Linked DNA regions of Lepisosteus oculatus. Each later gene encodes a partner of the first gene's protein in a complex. Links are inferred from orthologs where the notes say so. Each region holds a gene or a part of one and is shown in the gene's direction. Other genes may lie near its edges.

Evidence for each region. The genes of interacting proteins can lie anywhere in the genome.
Region 2: the proteins of rab11a (region 1) and rab3ip are in contact, whole or in part, in a crystal structure (PDB 4UJ5), measured with the Homo sapiens proteins. The link is inferred for Lepisosteus oculatus from reciprocal best matches to the Homo sapiens genes RAB11A and RAB3IP. Residues at the interface, in NP_004654.1 of Homo sapiens: Phe36, Leu38, Glu39, Asp127, Leu128, Arg129, His130, Leu131, Arg132, Ala133, Pro135, Thr136, Leu156; in NP_783322.1 of Homo sapiens: Asn367, Thr368, Leu369, Ser370, Ile371, Glu372, Pro373, Asp412, Arg424, Thr428, Cys431, Asn432, Thr435, Tyr439, Leu444, Val445, Lys446, Gln447, Gln448.
Region 3: the proteins of rab11a (region 1) and myo5aa are in contact, whole or in part, in a crystal structure (PDB 5JCZ), measured with the Homo sapiens proteins. The link is inferred for Lepisosteus oculatus from reciprocal best matches to the Homo sapiens genes RAB11A and MYO5A. Residues at the interface, in NP_004654.1 of Homo sapiens: Arg33, Glu35, Ile44, Gly45, Val46, Glu47, Phe48, Ala49, Thr50, Gln63, Trp65, Gln70, Tyr73, Ala75, Ile76, Ala79, Arg82; in NP_001369276.1 of Homo sapiens: Ile1660, Gln1661, Trp1738, Met1742, Arg1745, Tyr1746, Ser1749, Gln1750, Glu1753, Arg1756, Gln1777, Gln1780, Val1781, Lys1782, Lys1784, Met1795, Glu1818.

What each region holds. Positions count from the first base shown.
Region 1 is NC_090700.1:47,580,455-47,587,572, forward strand, and holds the start of rab11a (ras-related protein Rab-11A), read left to right. Parts: upstream 1-4,097; 5' UTR 4,098-4,129; coding exon 4,130-4,175; intron 4,176-7,118. UniProt on the Homo sapiens protein: The small GTPases Rab are key regulators of intracellular membrane trafficking, from the formation of transport vesicles to their fusion with membranes.
Region 2 is NC_090702.1:23,324,005-23,331,050, reverse strand, and holds the start of rab3ip (rab-3A-interacting protein), read left to right. Parts: upstream 1-3,955; 5' UTR 3,956-4,138; intron 4,139-7,046. UniProt on the Homo sapiens protein: Guanine nucleotide exchange factor (GEF) which may activate RAB8A and RAB8B. Promotes the exchange of GDP to GTP, converting inactive GDP-bound Rab proteins into their active GTP-bound form.
Region 3 is NC_090700.1:44,823,223-44,830,717, reverse strand, and holds the start of myo5aa (unconventional myosin-Va), read left to right. Parts: upstream 1-4,404; 5' UTR 4,405-4,660; coding exon 4,661-4,693; intron 4,694-7,495. UniProt on the Homo sapiens protein: Processive actin-based motor that can move in large steps approximating the 36-nm pseudo-repeat of the actin filament. Can hydrolyze ATP in the presence of actin, which is essential for its function as a motor protein. Involved in melanosome transport.

The sequences.
Region 1 (7,118 bases):
AGCAAGTAAAAAATTAATTAGAAAATAGAGGATTTTTAAGCACTAACAACAGATGAGGAATATACAGATCATTAATCAAAAAATACTTTGCATCTCATGCAGCAGGAAAAGCACTGAACAATAAAAACTTCCATAGATTATTTCAATTGTTTTTAACCGCATCAGACAACTGAACCCACAACCCTGCTTTCTACAGTCATTTTTTTGTGATTAGCCCCAGTACCTGATATACCAGGCTGTGTTTTTAAGACACTGTAACATTTTCTATTCACGTACAATGACAACCGCAAGGACACATTTCCCACCCTTACAAATAGCTGACCTTATGTGTTGATCAAGTGTCACAACTTGGAAAGAAAGCGGCAAGTCTGCCACCTAGTGGACACGGACAATGTTGACAAAAGCAGCGCTCTTCTCAGCGTGAAGAAGCTGTAGAAAAGCGAAGAGTTCAGTGTGGGGCAGACTTCCAGTGATGGCGGCATCAGACAAGGTAGCACTCTCTATTCTTAAGTGAAATTATTGAGTTATAGCTCCCTTTGTACTTCTGATACTTGTATCAGAAGTACAAAGTTGGGTGATGAAATATTTCTACATACAAAAAACAACATGGACAAAAAAAAGGTAAATACAGACTTTAATATGGACATCACTGAAGCAAATATGCAATTTGTTCATCCACAGCTTAAAGGTTAATTTTGTTATTTGCAGTTTCCCCTCTGTTACGCCAGGGGGATAGCGAACCGAGACCCAAACCTGTCTTGACCTGCTCACACTGAATACTAATGTGCAGAAGCTGCCCACTGTATCCAGACTCCTTCAAACAAAACAGAGATCTACACCATTGGTGGCACTGAGCCAGTCCCCAGTTACATGCTTTCTGTGACCCCAACCCAGCTCACAAAGTCATAGTGATGTCTGCGCTGCAGTCTACCAGCTCGCTGTGCTCATCTCCGCAGGCCGGCACTCCATAAGTTCAAAACACGGTATCTCACAAACAACACACGCTACGTTCAAATCACGCGGAATCGTGATAGAGGCGGTTTCTGGCAGCGGTAAGTGAAATCATGCCTTGCCAGCTGTAAGGTTTCCTCAGCTTTACCTGAGTAAGACGACAGCCAACGGCAACCCTGAGGTGCTGGGAGCTGCTGTGTCTGTATGGCAGGCTGCACACACCCTGCGGCACCTGGGAGGTGACCTGCAAAACAAGGCCGTCTGGCCCATCGGGCTCCTGGGCTCGAAGCCTTTCCAGTGCCAGCCTGCGGCCGGGTCGAGAGCCCGCGGGTCCCGCGCCTCTGCCGGGAGCCCACGCGAGGCCGATGGCGCTGACCTGTGCCTCCAGCCAGCGGGGCGGGAGTGCTTGGAGAGGGCCAGGCTCTTGGCGGTACGGTCCTTCGCGGGCGCGGGAGAGGCAGACGGAAGGCCGGGCTGGCAGTCAGTGTCGCCCTCTCAGTCAGTGTGGCGCTGACGTGAGTGCCTGTCGCCTCTGCCCTCCAAACTCTTTTGTGGCCCCTGGCAGCTGGAGCCCACCTGTGGTGGGGGCCGGGCCTTCTGATATGACTGGTACTGAGTCCAAATTTCCCACTGCTGCTTGGCTTCCGTCTTACCCGCCCTTTGACCTTTGACCTGAACTGGCCAGGTGGGGTGGTAGAGCAGGAGAAGAACCTACAAGGAGAGACAAGGGCCTGTTTCATCAGCAGCTCACCGTCGCTTTCTCCCAGAAACGACACAGCCCCCACGCATGTCACATTGCAATGAGCCCCCCTGCCACACAGGTGGAGAGGTATTTATGACACGAGAGCGTCTAGGGTCTGGTGGCCGGCCCTGGGCATCAAGCCGTGACAGGAGCTCATGCAGAAGTCTGGTATTCACCCAGAGTTGAGAAGGTTAGTCTTAAAAAGATAACCCATTCCAAAGGCAAGTCAATTCTGCTTTTTAAAATTAACAAGATAGTGGAAGAGAAAAACTTTAAGATGTTGTCAGAGTCATCTATGAAGTGTGTGTACAGTTACTCTGCAAGCCAATCCATTCTTTCTTAAAAGCAATCTTCCTTCCTTTAACTTCTTAATTGAAAAAGTTATCCCTTTCTGAAGTACCTTATACAGTGTCTGAAACTGTCTCACTGACGTCTGGGACACTTCCTTTACGTTTAGGGTATCCTTACGTTGTAAGGCTCTGTATTCATTAATACAATCCTGTAAATTCTTCATAAATATTTATCATGATATGGCTATGTAGTCAGTTTTAGTACAACTTTTCTTTCGACTTCATTTGTGTCAGATTTTTTTTTTCACCGCTGGGTTGCGACCGGCGAACTTGAGAACTGACACGGACACAAAATCAGAATATTTTAGGGTCCAATGCTGTCGGAGCAAAAAATGCCGGATGGACGCCGCGTCTTGAAGAGTTTGCATTCCGTTACAGCAGTAACCATCCGGTCAGCACAGGGCAGTGTCACAGAAACCGCTGTGGCTACATAGAGAACTGTAACACACTCGGGTTATGCGCTGGGAACTTCAGGAACAACATCATAGTTAAGACTTTTCTAATGAAGTTTGAGGTTTCCGTGCCAATCTTACTACCGCCTCCTGCTGGATTCATACTTTTTATTTTATACAGGCCTGCTGTTCCTTCTTGCATTAATACAGACCGGGTCATCTTTACAGGCTCCTTGTAGAACTGCGTTCACAGCAGTCGGAGGTCTGTAAGCGTGTTAACCCGGTAGACAGTACAACGAGGACAGAAGACAACGTGAGGGAGTGCAATTAAAAACGGAAAAGACACAAGTTTTACAATCTAAAAGGGAGGATTCGTTCGCATTCCGCTGTTACATACAATGCAGCACCAGGACCGGCGCTACTTCCAGCTGACTGACTTTCTGCAGCTCGGTGTTTGCATCTCAGCGAACCGTCGGGCTGAAGCTAGACCCACCGGAACCCTCCGCTCGAACCCCGCCATCTTCGCACGGTGGGGCTCCCGTTTTTCCAGCCTGATTGGTGCAAAATGGAGTAGAGAGAACCTGCGCCCCCAGTCACAGCTACATCGCCTTTACTGCCATCTGTTGACACGATATTGAATTTACGCTCGTCCAGCAGTCAAGATAAATATATTCAATTTAAACGTTTTTATTTAACAATTTCGCGTATCCTCGATGTGTAAAACGAGGACAACATGCCAGCTATTTTGCTGTGCTGTTATTTAAACAAGTAGGGAAAAAAGTCAGGTTCCACCGAGATTTGAACTCGGATCGCTGGATTCAGAGTCCAGAGTGCTAACCATTACACCATGGAACCTCCTGTACGTAAACCCCCTTGCATGAGCCTAAAACAAGCTGGGCAATGACACCGTCGTTAATTCGTCGTTTTATCTGCCACATCTAGCAATGCACACACCAACGAGATTTACAAAGCACTCAGTAAATACCACTAAACGTTTATAAAGTTGAATCGTTTCAGTACGTATTCGTACGGGAGTATTAGACGTACATGATGCGGACCTGGCAATCTCAGAGAGCTGAATTCACTACATGTCTTCCCTGGCAGCAGATACATACAGTTGCATTAAGGTGCGCGTGTCACATTTGCAGGATGCAAAAACCTGTGTGTGCGTGTTCCTTTAATCAGGAGACACAATCAACGAAGAGATGGTAAACGGGATAGTACGAAATCTCGGGAACGCGGACCGTACCGCACTATCGAAGAGGCACACGCGCCCGGCAGCATTACGTCATAGACTCCAAGGAAACGCTGCGCTCATTTCGTTTAGACGCCTTTGTAGGTTTCAGTAAACCGGACCTGTATCAGAAGGACGTTTAAAGATCGTGGCCCAGAGAGGAGTGACTGCACATACCACCCACCTTTGGAACAGATATGCAATATTTAAGAAACAAATGTTGATCAATGGTGACCCCGCTGTGACCCCGGAAGTGCAGACTTCTTGACTCTTGCAGGTCTCGGGTGGTAATTTGGCTGGAGTGGGCAACACGGTGCGGCTGCCATCCCGTATTTTCATTCTCACTTGGCTCGATTTATTCTGGAATCAAGATGGGAACCCGAGACGACGAATATGACTATTTGTTCAAAGGTAAAGGGAGTGCTACAAAACATCGTTTTCTCTCATTCCGTAATGGTTGATGTTAGCCTGCGCGTTAGTAACATTAGCTGCACTGATCGCACACGGTAAGTGCTCGGCACTGGCTTCATCGGGCTTTTGTGAGGTACCCGAGATATCTGGTCTGCTGCTCTGTGAATAATATTACTATCCATTAAGACCGGGGGACTAATCGTCTGTGCCCGGGCTCTTTTTAGCACACGTATAGCAAAAACAGTCGCTACGGTTGAAAGTTGAGAAATCAAGGCGAAATTACGACATGTTGTTACACTACGTCCGGGGAGCAGAGTCCTAGGTTGCGGTACACCGAGAGGTACCTGAAACAACCTCTTCCCACCTGCCTCTGTCACAGCGGCTGCTGGACGGTAACCGCAGCTGGCGGCGCCATTTCACACCTTAATAATGTGCCCAGACCTGCTGCCTTCACATTGTAACGTGTAAGGAGAAATAAAAGCGTTTGAATACGCTGACAGGATGCTGAACTGCTCTGCTGCAATTAAGCTTTGATATCAGCTCCTTTATTTCTGAAACTGACACTGTTACAAGTTACTGTTTTTTTCTTTGGTGAAGGTTGAGATGTTCAAAGCGATTCGCGTAATTCGGTTTTTGTTTTACGGGGCGACCTCTGTACGTTGTTTTTTTTTTAAGATTCAAGACAGTGTCCGCCCGTCTGTACTCGTTTGTGCAATGTTAACTCGGTACGCCGCCTTAACCAAGACCATAAGACATATTGTAACTTGAGGTTGGTCGGGTTGTTCATGTACGATTGTGTATACTGTCCTTTTCTTCACTATTTACAACAAGACTCTTAAAATGCAAAGCGGCAGTCTTACTCTAGCGAGGAAGCAGAAACCGTTGCTCAATGACATTCTCTGAGAGACACGTAACAGGATTACTGGGTGTGTGTGTTTGTCCGGGACTCGCAGCGGATGAGTCAGGGACGGACATTTGACTGTCCAGGAATCCACTAGCCCAAGTGCGGAAGGAATGCGGACTCTCGGACACCCGCAGACGCTCATCGTTTAGTTTTAAAACGTTACTCACTGTCGTCACTGTGACCCCCTTTTTTGTGTGTGGGGGGGTGATTATCATTTCTTCATGCTCTCTGCCAAGTAGGCATCAATGCTTTAACAGTTTTACTTATTGTGTTTTCATCCGTTTGAAATCGAATACTCTGCCAATTGTTCGTGTTGACCTATGCCGTGGTTGTTTGTCCGAGGAGTTATTTTTGAGCTTAAGGTCTTGGAGTCAACCTCACTTGGAGGTTTGAAGTGAAGCCATTTCACGAGTCTTCCATCACCATAAATTGCAACAGTAGAATGACAACGATCTGTGTGTTTCCCCCCAATTTTTACTTAAGTCTTCACCTCCTCTGATATTTAACTGAAATATCAAGAATGAATTTCGCAACTTCTATATTCGATTAACCTGAGGGTGTAGAGTCTGTTGAAGAAACACAGGCAGCAGGCGGATACAGGCATCTCCCTGTTGATCACCTGCGTTCCACTGTAATGTGTCTTACAGTGATCCTGTGAGCCGGAGCTCGGTGACAACACAGACCTTCTGGAACCTGATAGGCAGTAAGTCCTGATCGTAATGGACAAATCCTAGATTCTTAAAAGAAAAACAACAAGAAACAGGAGAAAGGGGTTGCGGATGGGTTGATGTTTCCACAGCTTCGGAACAAAGGGGTTTATTCATTGTCAGGAAGTATTGCATTGCTCTGTGGAATGCTGTAGCCTGCAGGCTTTGTGTGCTTCAGTGCATCCACCCTGCTACTCAGGCATGAGAATCGCAAGCCATTGCAAACACAGATGCCGTTTGAAATAAGCTTGCATACAAACCCAAATCACTGTAGCATGCACATGTTCTTAGAAAACGTTCGGGGCCTCCGCAAGTCAGCTTTGGCTACTCCACAGGTCTGGCAGAGTCAACAACGGGTCCAAAGGGCTGCTCAGCTAAGTTGCAGCCAGGTCCCAGACTGGAGTGCACTCCCTGCAATTTTAGTCTGTCCCACATGCTGTACCTGCGTGTTTACTCTGAATGTGCACACCCTTCACTTCTGTTTAGCAGCTCTTAACTGCTGTTCACTAAGGTTTAGGTATTCACTTGCAGGACAGTAATAGTGTGTGTTTTAGCCTTGTGGAGTTACTGTACAACTGAAAGGTACTCTACCACTTGCTGAGATTGCTATTTGCTCTTACAGGTGTACTGAGGTTCTTATAGTGCAGTAAAAGCACTAGTGTGCATTTACAGTATCTAGGCTCTTTGTTTAGCAGAATTAAACAGGGCTGAGTTTAGTCTATTTACAGCTGTATCTGTACAACTTTAGAACAATACACAAAGGACTGTCACAGTGTGTTACTATCAGCAGCAGCTGAACTGCTGGGGTTTTATTCAATAGTGCAGTTTATATCGGGAAAGGGAAGTTGACACAAGGGAGCTCCTTGTTCTAGGTGTGTTTTTTGAAATTGCAACTTATGGTTCTTGGGCGCCACAAACAAACACAGCTCAGGCTCTGTCATGGATCCATCCATTGTAAGAAAGAAGCTTACAAGTCCTTGTAAAAGTCATTCAGGAAGCTGGGGCAGCCAGAAAGGACTGCATCCTGGCTGGGACATCAGTCCCCCGCAGGGCTCGTGCACAGGGCCTGTTTATCAACACTAGTTAACTTGGCCAACACATCTCTAGAGGGGAGGGGATACTACCCCCCCAAAGAGAGCCCATGTGGATAATCTGAGAACATGCAAACTCCACACAGATGGACCAGATCCGGGACCCCATGAGCTCTGAGACAGGAGTGCTGACTGCCACCCCATCCTGCCCAATTTCATTCAGTGTTTTTCAATTTAAAATTATTTTTATTGTTGTTCACATGGTGGGGATTACAAAGGTAATCAATGAACACAGCCAAGCATTTAGGTTTTGTTCTGATTTAGTAGGCTTAAGGTTTTAATCAAGCTTGCTAACCATGAAAAGGGGCTTAAGGAGGCATCTTCTAGAAATACAGG
Region 2 (7,046 bases), on another chromosome or scaffold:
CCGTTGCTAGCATAAAATATCCCTCCTGGGTGTTTTTCTTTCCACTGTGGTTTTCTTTCCAATGTCCAGAGGCCTGTTATAATCTCCTAACAGACTCGGTGCCTGACAAACCCAGGTATGTTCTACTTCGTGTGTGCAGACTCAGATGGCTAAAAGTCCTGCCAGCTTCCTGGGGATCAGAGGCTTTTGCCCTCCAGTTGTGTGATAATAATGTAAGCAGTATCTTTTCAACTCACTTACTGTACCATTATTTCTCACTAAACAGCCCTTTGAAGGTGATCAAGTTCTGATAGACAAGGGTGGGAATGTCACTGTAGTAGACAGTTCCTGCAATGAGGTTTTATACCATCGGCAGAAACTCATTTGGTCCCAATCAGGCAATATACAGTAAGTGAATGAAGGCAGTTCTGAAACTCAAAATTTGGTACTGATCACAAATAGTGCGACTCAACAGACACATTCATTTTCGATATACCTGCCATCTTGTAGTTCTGAATTTTGCTGTCTGATGTCTGATGAACAAATACTAGAGTTGGGAACTGTTGAGTTGAGGCATTTGGATATTACATACTTTAGTCACACAACAAAAAATCAGCATGCACAGGACGTCATGTGTTGCACATTTGTAAGCAATCCCACTATAACCCTGAATATATTGTATAATAATTAAGCTTGCTAAAGAAAAGGCATAATTTTGTTGAAAATAAACCAAAACTTAACATGACATTGTGAAGACAGTATACAGTTACCGAGTCTCCTCTTGGACTTTTTGAAAATTTTTCAGACGTAGCATCTTTAATTCTTTGCCTTTGTTTATAAGGCCCCATTTCCTTTTATAGTCTTCTGCTTAAAATTATCAGAGAAAATGAACAGGGTTTTGTGCTTGAAGGAAAAGCTCAGTGTTAAGCTGTTTTTCCTAAAACAGAGAAGAGCTCAGCCTTGTTTGTATTAGACCACAAATTCTAATCCTTAATTAAATGTTCAACACAAGTAGTGTAAACTTTTATTTTTTAATCAGCTGACAGACATGTATGGATGCAAGCTTAGAGGAAAACTTTATTATGAAAGCTGGATACTATTTTAACTGCAGTTTCTGAACTTACCATTTGTTTATTTCTTACTGGGTCAGAACAAGCTATTAAAAGAGCTGTTGTTGGTTACAATGCCTCATTGAAAACCTTCACTGCATTTGAAGAGTAATCTGACTAGCGCCCTGGGACAATATGCTTCAATCCAATTATTTTTAATGTGATTGCATGATTTTGAAAAATTATTTATTTGATTATTAATTTATTTTCCTGATATATACAGTAATTTCCAGGTAAGCTTATCATTTTCATAAAATTGTTATGGAATTGTATGGAAGGCAAAGTTTTGTTTAAAAATTTATTATTGTTGCTTTTTTTGGCAGAAAACACTAAAGCTATGCTATCACTATGTGACTGTGAGACAGAGGCACTGTATATTGTTATTAACCTTCTGTTTTATAAATGCATATGTTGACTCAGGGTTTCCTTGTGTATCTGTATCAACAAAAATAGGAAATGTTTTTCCTTGAAAAGGGAAAGGAGTAAGTATTTTTCAGTTGTGACATTTCCAATTATTTTGATGGTCCACAATAAATATATATTACATTTTGAATGGGTTCTGGTTAGCTATCACAACTGAGTGGCCTGTGACAGCAGGCTTGTGTGTTACTATTTTCAGTACAATTATTTCAGTACATATGATGTGGATCCAGGCAAATATTTTTTTCCCCAGCCTTCAGTTTCATCTCCCATTGCTTCTGTGCTCAGAAATGTGTTCTATTTTGATCCAGCCCCAGTTTTAGATAGCCAGATTAAGGGGTGGCTTTAGAATATGAATATGTCAAACCTATTATTTTAGAATTGATTTCCTGCTTTCAAAAACAAACATCTTCTGTATACAAATCTGTATTCAAATTGCCTGGGATATTTGCAGCCCTTTGCCCTGTGCGGGCTCTTCACTATTTTGATGGTTGTTTGATTTTCAGTTCTTTTGGGCAGGTATTCCAGGTGCTATCGTATCTCCCACCCCTTTCATCTGGAATCTCTTGTCTTTTGTGGACATTGTGTAAGACAAGTATGTGCGTAATACAGCCCCGCTAGTTAAGAGCTAAACCAGGCCTTACTCCATGTGTGACTGCCATAGGTCAGGGGCGATGACCAGTGTGAAAACACAACTCAGAGCTCTGAGTTCCACTATTGTGCCGGAGTGACTGACTGGCACTTAACAGACACGAGCATGAACCTGTTCTGCAGGACTTCACAGGATGAGCTGCTGAACAGGATGACTGGTGCTGAAGTGATCAAATATGAATTAAATTACATTTTTTGACTTATTTGTAGTTTTTGTTCTCTTACCCAAAATATTTATTTTTCTGTTTTGGGCTATTTCAGTCTCTATGCCTTTAAAAAACAATTGTTGAACCCAGACATAACCTTAAGCGGACAGCAAATCCGTCCGTCGAAACTTCAGTACTGTTTGCGGGAGAGTGCTTGTTTGTTCTGCTCGAGGCAGTTGAAATGTAAAAGCAAGTGTTTGGGTTTCTGTTTGGCTCAGCTGACGGGTCCTTCAGTCTGGAGGCTGGCCCGTCACACCTTGGCTGTGTCACCTCTGGCTGGCTGTAGTGAAGAGCTCTGAGGTGAGGGAGCTGACTAGAATATTCTGATTCACTTCTGACCAGCTACAGATGGTGGAGTTTGGTAGTTTTGTGAGACTGAATTGTTGACGTTGGGGCCTGTGTCAGTCAGTATTCTGGTTCGGTGTATTTTCGTGTTATAAGACAGCAGCAGTCCTTGATTTACAAAAGGCCAAGGTTAATGATGCAGAATGTTTTGCTAGATTATCTCTCCCTATGCATGGTAATATGTCACGGATGTAGGAAAGGCAAGCCGTGGAATGACAAGGAGGGCGTAGCGGTGAAAGGGGCAACACAGAGGTTAGCCCAGACTCAGGGGGTCAGATGATATCGGAAAGAAATCTATGCCCTCAGGCCACAGACAGTAGCGACCTGGTGCTAGGCGGGTCTCAGGAAATCCGTACCCTCAATGCTGAGCAAGGAGTACAGCAGACACAGGAAGTAAATAGGCTACACAACAACAACAACAACACACGGGAAAAACATGAATAATCACAGGGAACTAGGAACAAGACAGAAGTAGAGCGCCCTCTGGATGCACTGGACGTGACAGGATTGTGGTAGGGGAGTTATACTGTAACAGGCGGCACTGTTGTACTGAAAAGACACTGCATTTATGTGTTATAAGTAGTGTATGAATATTCTTGAACAAATCACGCCTTTTTCTTTTGGCTAAAACAAAAGTTACTCTTGATAACGTTACAACGTCCTATTAGCTCAATTTACATTGTAGAGCTTTTTTTCTTTTGCTTTTTCTGTACAGTAATGGTGTGCGTCTCATGGCCAGGTCGCCACTTTAAACAAAGGATTATTCTCAACTGATTTATCTGGTTAAATAAAGGAATTTCTAGGGTTAGTTTAAATCGTGTTTCTGATCGACATGCAGCAGAAAGCACGATTATGTGTGTGCAACGCATCCATAAGGGTTATTATGAAAAAAAATAGAAATATAATTTCCTCAACAATGTAATTGTATTATTTTGTAAGAGAACCAGGAGGGTAAGCGCTTTCACAAGAATGTTTTCATTCATGAATGAAAAACGGCCGTTTCCACAACTGTATGTTAATTCAGATGCGAAGGATATTTGTTTTTCTTTTTTGCTCCAGTCCATGCATCCACTTATCGCATTAATCCACATACGGGGTTCATGTGCGGAGATATTATTATTTGACGTACAGTAGTTTGAAATTTCCACCATCAAATCACAGATGCGTGTGTACCATTTGTATTACGGTTGTGACCGGGTAGCTACGCCTGTGTAAACATAGGGCGGCCGCCGGGGCGCGCATGCGCGGTTTGCAGTCGTGTTCACACGCAGAAGAGGGAGCAGGTGTGCCTAGAGCTGATCTGGCTGTGAGCTGTCTTTCTCCATCCTTGTCTCAGAGAAGTTACCTGTCTCTCAATTGACCGTCTCTTTGAAGTGGACATTTTCCTGTCTGCAGGGAATTTTCTTCATTAGCTTTCCTAAGCCATAGGTAGGTAGCTGCTGAAATCATGATCCGATCCTGGCACAGTTGTGCAGGTAGCGAGCTTCGCCTGGTGTTGTGCTGTGCGATACTCTAGCAATCAAATGTTTACAGGCAGTGTGTTTTTAAAATAAAGGGGAGAAACCACATTACATGGATTGTTTCTGGACTTTTACGCGCTCGTAGTTTTTTTTTTGTCGCATTTTGAGATTCGTATCAGACGATTAAAGCCAGGATCTGTGTAGATTCCGAAGCGAATCAACCTCAGGAAACGCTTATTTGATTTAGCCTCAAGTTATTCCACGGGCGCCCATTAAACGTCGCGAATGACCATTTTTTCGGGATTTAGTTTTCTAGCGGGTCCCTGCAAAATGATGTAATTAGGGGTGAAGATTTCAGCCTTCACACCAGCCGGTCTCGGTGGACATCCTACCTGGACATGAAACGAACTGATACATAATGCTTTGTAAGAGGATTATTTCCCTTTAGTGGGATTTTAGAAAAAGGGCCGCACGATGCATTGTTGGTTTCAATCAAAAACAGACAAAAAAAAAAACCCAACAGCAGCCAAAGGCACGAAATTTGATTGTGCGTGCTGTTGATCTCCTTTGTAACAACGAAAAGGGGCAAGGCGTTTTTTTGTGCCTTTTTTATTTTCGGTACTGCAGTTTTTAAGACCAGGGCAACAGTTTCGCCCCCGGGTAATGTGTTAGTTGACAGAACAAAAATCCCTGATTATGGAAAAAATGGGGAACGTCTCTCGTCGAAAAACTCCGATCCCTACATTGAAAAATAAAACTTGCTGTTGACGTTTAATATGTGCATAATAGAGTAAGAGCACTGGATTATCTTGCCTGTTTTATAAAATCCATAATTTAACGAACGTTTCTGTTGCGAGTCTTATTTCCGTCCTGTATTCCTCATAGTTTGGTCTGAGATCGAAGAGCTTTATTTTATGCGAAAGGAATCGTGGTTTTTCTGTCACGCCTGTACTGTATAGGTAGACACGTGCGACAAGACAGGAGGTCCAAAAAATAATTGGTTAGACACGGGGACGCAATTTCGTATTTTGTGCTTCAGCTACTGTCGCTTAAAAGAATCTGGGGATGTTGAGCCAAAATACACTATTGGAATCAAGTTTGTTTCATATTCGAAGGCAATTTGACTGTTTTAGGTGCAATATCGAGTACATTTACATTCCTGTTGCCCTAGTGTGTTGAAACCAAACGATTACTAATCCTGCATGAGATGTCTGCGATTGACGTGCTTTAGTGGACATAATATGCTGACAGAAATAGTGAGGTAGCCTAGTCAAATCGAACAAAATTGGTGACGAAAACGCTTTGTGCAGATTAAACTCCTTTCAGTAACGGCATGTCATTTGTCAATCTGATTTTTTTTTTTGCCGAGGGAATTTTGCATGGATACATTTGAGTTTAGCTTAATTCTTAATATTTTAGTCAACGTTAAATATTAGGCAGATTGCACAAGCGTCTAAACCGCAGTTAATTGCGGAAAGAGTTGGAGCAGAAATAGCCAACAAAACAGGCATTCAGAAAGCATCAGGTTTTTGCGTTTTTCCTTTTTTTCCCCCACTAGCAATGACAAGCTAGTGACAGGATAAAAACAGTGAGGCCCGTTTATAGTGTAACACTGGATACAAAGCCCTGAAATATGAGCGTGGTTAGTTGTGCAGTTAAACCAACAGAGGCAGGGGCTGTGCTAGCACTTTGTTTGTTTTAGACACAATAGGACACTCCTGAGAGGCACATTACAACGCAGAACTGTACTGTGTAAAACACCGTGCCCAAAATACTGAATTTCTCCGGTTTATATGTGTCTCGTCAGTCTCGTCATTCTCTTCAGAGTTGTTTATGGGAAAATACCGACGTTCAAATATCTGAACTATAAAGGGATATCCTTCTTGTCCCTATTTTCTTTTTTCTGCCCATTTGTGAGTGTGTCTGAATGGAATAAGTGTGGTCTGTACAAGAATTTCGTTTTCAGCTTTGGCAAAGGCACCAGGCGACACAGAATGCTTGCCAACATTTCTGCAATTTCAGGGAAAGGTGCTTGTCCTGTTCAGGACTTTACTGTTAATTTTAGAAAATGCTCACCACTCAAAGCCTCCCCGAGAATACAATCAAGAAGCCCCAGCTATGGTCTTCCAGCTAAGCTATTCTTGCTCCTTCACATGGGTTTAAGTATCGCAGGTTTAATGGTCTGCTGAACTTTTGATGACGTACTTGATCTCCCAGAACATCTCCTGCTAAATGCCCAGCGTTGTTTCTTCTTAACAAATTAGACTACTAAGCCATTTTACGAGTCGTGCAATTTCTTTATATGAAAGCCGAAGCTTTCTGAAACGTGTTGGGGGGAGGGGGGGTAGACTTTAAGACCACATCTTCGTAATTAATCATGCCCTAGCAAAGCTAACAGGAGAAACTGATCTTTTTTAATTTCATTAGCCGCCGTCTGTATCCTGACAAATGTGACCTGTCGTACGGTGCGTTTGCAGCCCTCATTTATAATTCATGGTGCCCCTGTGGTCTGAATAAGTAAGGAAGCAGCACCTCTTCCAGCTGGAGGCAATTAGGTAACACGGAGGCGGGGTGTCGGGGAGCCGCTGAAAGAGTGGGTGAAGTCAAGGGCCCATTATAGCGGCAGTGCGAGGGAAGACGAACGGCGGTAAATGGTTTCTCTCAGAAAATGAATAATTGACAGGCTGATGCTTTCGGCAGCCTCTGTTTTTGATTTATGTACCTTTTCTTCAGGAGATTTAATTTTTTTTTTGCCTTCAAGATTTAATACAGCCTGCAAATTCCTATTCTAGTTATGAAGCTGGGGGTGTCGGATAACTCCCAGTCCCTTTAAGAACTGGGCCCCTGAATGTTTCTCTTTTCTCTGGCGCACGTGA
Region 3 (7,495 bases), about 2.8 Mb from region 1:
GCAACTCGTACTTGCAGTAGCCCGACGACAATCAGAAGCCGACACGACCAGACTCCCTCTGATGGCTGATAACGCAAACCGGTCTGTCTTGAGAGGATAGAGTCCCAAGACGTGGGGATGTGTTTACCGCTTGGGAGGCGAGAGTCTTTTTGGCAGTTAAGCTATTTTTGTATTTTCCTTCCTTAGAAAGTAGAAACTAAACGGTCAATAATATAAACGCATGATGTATTTGCATCGATACCCCAGTCATTAGTAATGCTGGAGAAACAATTGAAATATACCCGTTTTCGATTAACTGCATGGGTCCTCTTTATTCTGACTATAACATTTTTTCCTGACGTCAATTTGATGGATTTTAGCGTTTACTGAAGAAAGAGGTGCAATAGATAACTTAAAGAGATCGCTATATTGTTGGTCAAGAGGCATCAAGAAACTCATTGAACGATATTTTGATTTTTAATTTGACTAAAATAATGTAATTGTTTTGCAGTTATCAACTGGGTACGGATCAGTTAAACTCTCCCCAATTCTCCCCAATAACAGAAGATACACTCCTTTCGGTTATTGTTTTATTAAATTAATCTGTCAAGCATCTAACAATGAAAACATAACTTTAAAACGTTTAGTTAAATTAATTGCATAGTCTCAAGTTGCTGTACTCACATCCTTATCGTGTCTTGGACAGAATTAAAGTTTCTTTTTAATTAAGATTGACTAAGGCTATTACTCTTAAGAAGTCTAGACAGTACAATGGTTGTCAACGGAAAGGACATTATTATTCATATGGAATATTAAACTATAGTTCTGCTAACTAAACTTTTTATCAAGAAAATTAGCTTCATATTGGAAGACACAGATTTAATAGTAGTTCCCTGCTGCGGATATATCCCTATTACAACGTTAAAAAACCATGGTCTAGTTCTCACGTTCTCATTTACATTTCTACCCTAGTTTTTCGTGACATACTCAGATGCCTTTCAAATTTATACCACTCAGTATGTGCATTGTTTGGAAAATGAATGTTGATTACAGCTTCTTTCGAAACCTGATTTACGCCACCGACGGACGCTCTATTTATTTCAACATTTGACAGAACTGTGTTAAAAATGAAGCACCGCCGCTGGGAGGCAGCCGTCGCTCGGATTACATCAGATTCATGGTTAGCAACGGGTTTTCGCTGAATGATTTCATTCATCATACCCAGAATGCACAGAGAGACACTAAAATAGCAAGATTTTCAGGTATCATGGCGTTTGCTACCTCTGCTTGAGCCGTCTCCCCGTTTGCTGGAAAGGATTTACAAAGAACAAGAGAGCAACGCCAGTGAAGCGAGTCCGACAAATTAAGCGCACCACTGATGTTCTGCTGACCAGGATTAGACCAACGCTGGATAGACCGTCATGGCAGCGTCCGAGCTGTACACAAAGGTAATGCTGGATTTTGTATTCCGCTTGACGGTGCGGCGTTCAGATTGCAGCTGCAGCTTTTGCATGTTACTGTTTCCCAGCAGCCGTCCCGTGTTTTGGGATGCGCGTCTGAGTTAAGATTGTATTTCCCGTTCTGTGATGTTGTCCCCCCCCCCACAGAAAAAGAGCAAACCAGCTGCCGGTGGAGCAGACGATTGAACAATGGCCAGGCAGGCAGGAATGAATGAATGACATCTTTTGATTTTTGGTTCTCCGCAGTTTAATGTACCACTGAATTGCGTGTGTGCGATGTGGCGCTGAAACGAGACTTTTGGTGCTACAGTGCTGCTGCTGCAGGACACCGTTTTTTATTCCTTTAAAAAAAAAATCAGTGTCTTACGAATGCTTGTCTGATTCACCCGAGGGCAGTTAAATTAACCGGTACTTGCACAGCTCTGTCCTTCAAATGTGCTCAGAGACGTTAAATTCTACCATATTCTCGGAATTATTTTTTCAAGTCAAGGGGAGAATGGATGTAATTATTGTTTTTTTTTCAGAGTATAGCTATTTTCCTATAAATTAGATTGAGCACATTTAATGCTTATGCGTAACTGTGGAGTGTCAGGGGGCGATGGTTGCAGAAAATACTGCTGATGGAAAATCAAGTGCTACTAACGAACCTCCTTTAGAATTTAACATTCTTTAAGGATATGGACGAGTAACAGTCCGGAATAAGGCTGTTTTTTCGAGGGCTGCATCTTCAGCCCGGTGTTTACTGTGTGTGCGAGTCGGACTGTGAAGTTGAACGAAGAACGCAGGATAGGTACGGCTGTGATGCTGAGCCAGGCCATTTCCATCAGTGACGATGCACTGTGGCGCAAGGTGCCCCAGCCACCTTGCCTTAACGCTGTGCAAACCGCTGCCTCTTTTTGTGCTGTGAAATCAGCACAAGGCAACCCGGTAATGGATGAGCTGTTGATTGGATTCACTGTACACCGTTGACAGATTCATCTCCATAGAATGCAGTTGATTGAAACTGGATTTATTAGACCGTAATTATTACTGTACATTCTCTGTGTAGAGGCGCGCTATTATGTTGTTACACGATATAAATACATGCTAATGTACAGTTCCGTTATTATTTTTGCTTGAAAAACACAGTCAGATCATAACCCATTAACTAATTAAGCACCTTGGAGAGCAGCTTTGTTAGTCCTGGTTCAGGCTGCTGGCCCAGAGGAGTAGTGGCAACATCACAGTCCATGGACTGGAGTCTAATGAACTGCATGCCCTCAGTCCTGCATTGCTGATCAAATTGGCCTTATCACTACTCTATGCAATATATTGAAGTGTAAGGTCAACAGAATTTATTTTCTTATCTAAAAAATAGATTACTTTTAATAGTGTGACTGGAACTATAGGAATCGCATGCTATGAATATGAGCATGGTTTATAGACTAGGTTTTATGAAAAAGTATTTTTTCTTCATCTGTGCATATTTTTATTAGGCCATATTCACAGCACATCCTGTAATCTAAGCAGTGGCAGGAAGGAGAAAAGCATAACTTTAAGTTTAGTAATTGCAGTATTCCAGGGCAGAATAAATAGTCCATTTGTCTTAAGCCAGCGTGTGAGAACTTCATTAGCTTTGTAAACATCTCTAAGGGTTTCACAGCTGACAGACACAGGAATGTTCAGGCATACTTTAGTCATCAGTGTTTGCCTGTGCTTGTACCAAGCTTGCATTCAGCTGTCCACATCTGCCTTTGTGTAACCTGTGTGTTACAAAAAAAGTTAATTGGTTTTTGCAAAGAAAATGCTCAGAATGTTCTTGTTCTTAGAACAAGTTATAGCAAGATTGAGGCAGATTCATGAAATCGAATTATTTTGTCCATCTCTTGAAGCAGAAACAGAAACGAAATGCGCCAAACAAAACACATTCTTGGCTGTTCACGCAAAATAAAAGCATGGTTGCATTAGGCATGGTGGTAGCGAAGATGGGACTGATACCGAGGTCCTTGCGATTTGTTTAATCTTGCTGTCTGCAGTCCCTTCCCTGAGGAAATGATGTAATAGCAATGCAGTGCTCTGTTTGGTCTAGAAGTGTAATGAGCCTCTTACCAAACCTTGAGTTCCTAACCACAAAGAGGCAGTGAGCACAGATGATGTAAGGCTCAGGCAGAGCCAGCAGCTCATGGACTTGGCCTACGCCTTCACTGGCACAGCAGCTCCTGATAGGGATGCATGGCTACAGATTTCTACAGTTTCTGCACCTTCGAAACTAGGGCGTACCAGTGCATGCAGATTGCACAAGATGGGCTCATTTCTCACTTCTTCTCACCTTCTCCCTCAAATAAGGAATGCACCTGGTTTAACGTAATGTATTTAAAAAATGAAAAATGCCAACAAAAAAGGTTAATGCAGAAATAAACACAAATGTATGACAAGGAAGTTGTGGTCTAGTCATTGAAACAGATGATTTTAGCCATACATACACATGCTTTAAATAGAGTAATTCTGCAGTATGCAATATTGTTCTCTCTTTATTCAGCATGTCTTTAACAGAGTGCTTTGCTGCTGTGTGACTTTGCTGGTTCTCCACTGAAATATTGCAACGTCAGTTCAGTACTATGCCTTTGAATGTATTTATGCACGGAATGTTCAGCAGAACTTTATTTGATTGTATGCCCAAGTCCTGTGTCCCCTAACATATTATTTTTCCGTAATTGGTCCAGCTTTCAAATTAATAGAAATGTGTGGGTTTCCAAGCTTAGGAAGAAAAGCAGTTTCTGTGCTCTGCATTAACTCCTTGCCTTGGAGGCAATTGGTGATCCACTATCTTGTAGACCATGAATTGTCATAAGACCAGCTGTGTTCATAATTGTCTTACTACGTAGCCCATTCGAAAACACTCTCCCCTTTGTGCTCTAAATGGGAAAATAAAATGCCATTGAAAGATAACTGAGTACACATCATAGCAATCAGAAATTCGCCACTCGTACTGGGCTGTGTCTGTGCTCTGGAGGGCTGTGGAAGTGTCCTTCAGCTCCTAGTCTCACTGGTGATAAGTCCAGCAGTGTGGAATATCAAGATTCTTGTAGCTACAGTAGAAGCCCGTAAACACTTGTAGCTGCAATGGAAAGCCTTCATCAAGTGTGACTTCAACCAATCCATTTTCTCTGTGCTGGCTGCATTTCATGTCTCAACAAAGTTATTAAGCTCGTCAGTAAATAGTGCTTTCAAAGAGCTTGAAGATGAACCAGGAGTTGGATTTTATGTACGTAAAAGTAAGTACCTCCATATCTTGCTTTGTTTGTTGTTCATACATGTGAAGGTAAGCAAAGGAGCTTTTGGTGTGCTTCAGATAGGCAACTGGACATGCCTTTATCATTTCCTGAATTATCTGATTGGGTCTCCAGAGAAATAATTTTGACTTATGATATTTTGGGTACAGAACCTTGGACGTATCACAAATGATCAGATGAGTTATTTTAGGAGGAATTGCTAGTGTTTGCTACTGTCAAACCAGCTGTGGGTTTGACTGTTTTCCCATTTTTAATCATTTGAATTTTCTCTGAGAGTGTACTTTGTATTTTTGATAGCGAGAAGGCAGTATCCTTAACATTGCAGTGTTGTCTTAGGATTAAACAAAATCTCACACTACAGAAGAGTGTTACACCCTACAACTCTGAAGACACCAGGACACATAGCATGCAATGAGTAAAGTGATACCTGAAGTGAGAATTATTACAGAAAGCAAAATAGTTCAAGAACCCTGAAACATGTTGTCTGAAAAGGACTGAAAACGCTAGATGTGCTTTACTGTGTCAGTCCTCTGTTATAATTGCTGTGTGTTAGCAATTGTCACTCCTTAGAATACATCCAGAAAATAAGACCCATTTCTCATGCATGATTATTCTTTTGATAACATTAATAATGGGTGGTACGTGATGCAGCATTGACGCTTTGCAGGGCTGAGCTCTGGGTTCAGATCCTGGGGTGTTCTCTGCACGGAGTTTGTATATTCTTCTTTTGGTCGTGTGGGTTTCCTTCAGGTGCTCTGGCTTCCTTCCACAGTCCAAAGACATACTGTTAGGTCAATTAACATCAGGGAAAGCTGGCCCTGGTGTGTGTTTGTGTTTGTATCTGTGCCCTGAAATGGACGTGTGTCCTGTTCAGGGTGCTGCGTTGTTCCTGTTGCTTGCTATAGGATAGGCTGCATTTTTGGCTTACTGTGATCCTGTAATGGATAATTGGTTAAGAAAATGGTTGGATTTGTAATCATTTTAATTTCCTAACCATGTGTCTGTAATGCATGGGGCAGTCACAGTTACCTGCAGTAGATAAGCAAAGTTGCTGATACTTCTCCTTTTGCTTCTGGGAGCAGGGCTTCACAGATTGAGACAAATACCATGATAACTGGATGGCCAGCCTTCTTTTCTTCCAGCCCCTCATGACGCAGGTGACAGTGGGACCCCTTCTGTTCTTCATTCCATAGCGTTTCCGAGGAGCATCCTCAAACAAGACAGTGTTAACTGTAGAGAGCTACTTAGAACTCACAGTAGATATCTGTGGTAACAGATTCATTTAATAGCAAAAAGGACTGTGGAAAAGAAATCTCAATAGTAAAAGCACAGGAATATATTTACTCCTATTGCCTCTTGTGATGATTTCAGTCCTTCCAGATTAGAGAGGTATGACAAAAGTAGAAGTACTTTGATGCTGTACTATGGAAAGCCTGTCAGTAATGACTTAAAGGGGAGTACAGATTTTATAAATGGGTGATTGTGGGTTTTTTTTGTACTACGGCTGGTGAGAAGTCCTTATAACACAAAACAGAGGAACCATATAGCACAAAACAGGAGGGACCATCCAGAAGACTGGATGTCTTGGGCAATCCAGAAAAGCAGCAGATTCTCACATGAACTTCTGTCATGTGATGAGCTGTTTTGAGTTCATGTTAGATTAGCAGTGGCTCCTTCAGATTTTTGTGTAGTCATGCATAGCCTGAGACTCAGTTACTGCATTGTGATGATTATATCTGCAACTCAGCATTTTAACAGCTATAAGTGGCAGACAGCAAATAGCAGAACTAGACCTATGTGATGATCAGAAAAGGCAGGGGTGCAACGCTGAAAAACTAGTGAGAATATAAATATTATATTAAATATTCTACATATAAGCCTTTTCAATTAATCTGTAGCTCATGTGCTTTCATATATACAGTAGGGGTTTGCATATTTAAGACCACCTTGAAGCAGTTTGTTAAACTTTAACTGCAGTTATGATTCACAGTTAAAAGTATTTTACTTGTGGGAGAGGAAGGTGTATCCAGTTTGCAACACCCTAAGGGTACACTAATTAAATATTTCTGTTACCCATTTTTCAACAGCAGTTGTGAAGCTCTTTGCTGTATATTTCTCAAGACTCCCAAATATGCTGTGATATATTTATGCCATAATGAAAAGAGGTCAAGTTTAAGAACTGTGGTCTCTGTATTTGCAAATAAATATTTTCCAGTGTTCCAAACAAAAGAAGAAATCAAGGTTTGACATTTGAAGTTACGCTTGTTGACGTAGAAGGTTAACTCTCAATCTCCATTTGGCTGAGTACACTTGGAAACACTAGGGACCCAAATGAATTCAGCAACTGCATAACCCTTTATTTTATGCAAAGGAACACAAATGGTTTATTTCATTGCTGAAAAGAAAATAGACTCGGTGTTTGGACTGTGGAGCCTTCTTCAGCCTCCTGAAGAAGGCTCCAGAGTCCAAACGTTGAGTCTCTTTTCTTCTCAGCATGGAATAAAACGTTTAGCTGTTCCTTTGCAGCCTATGCATGCTGACACAGCTACCAACTTGAACTTCTTTCATTTTATGGTTGACTGAAATGTTCACACAGTATTCTAGGGATAGTAGTTTCTAGGCTGATATTTAAAATTACTGGGACATTATGCAAATATCTTCCTGTTAAAATCCTCTTGTAATTTCTTTATTTCACTGATGTAATCATAAGAGGATAAAAATGGGTTGCAAATAAAAGAAGCCTGTTCAGACCATTGGCCTTGTTTGGTTGCTAGACATAAGCGA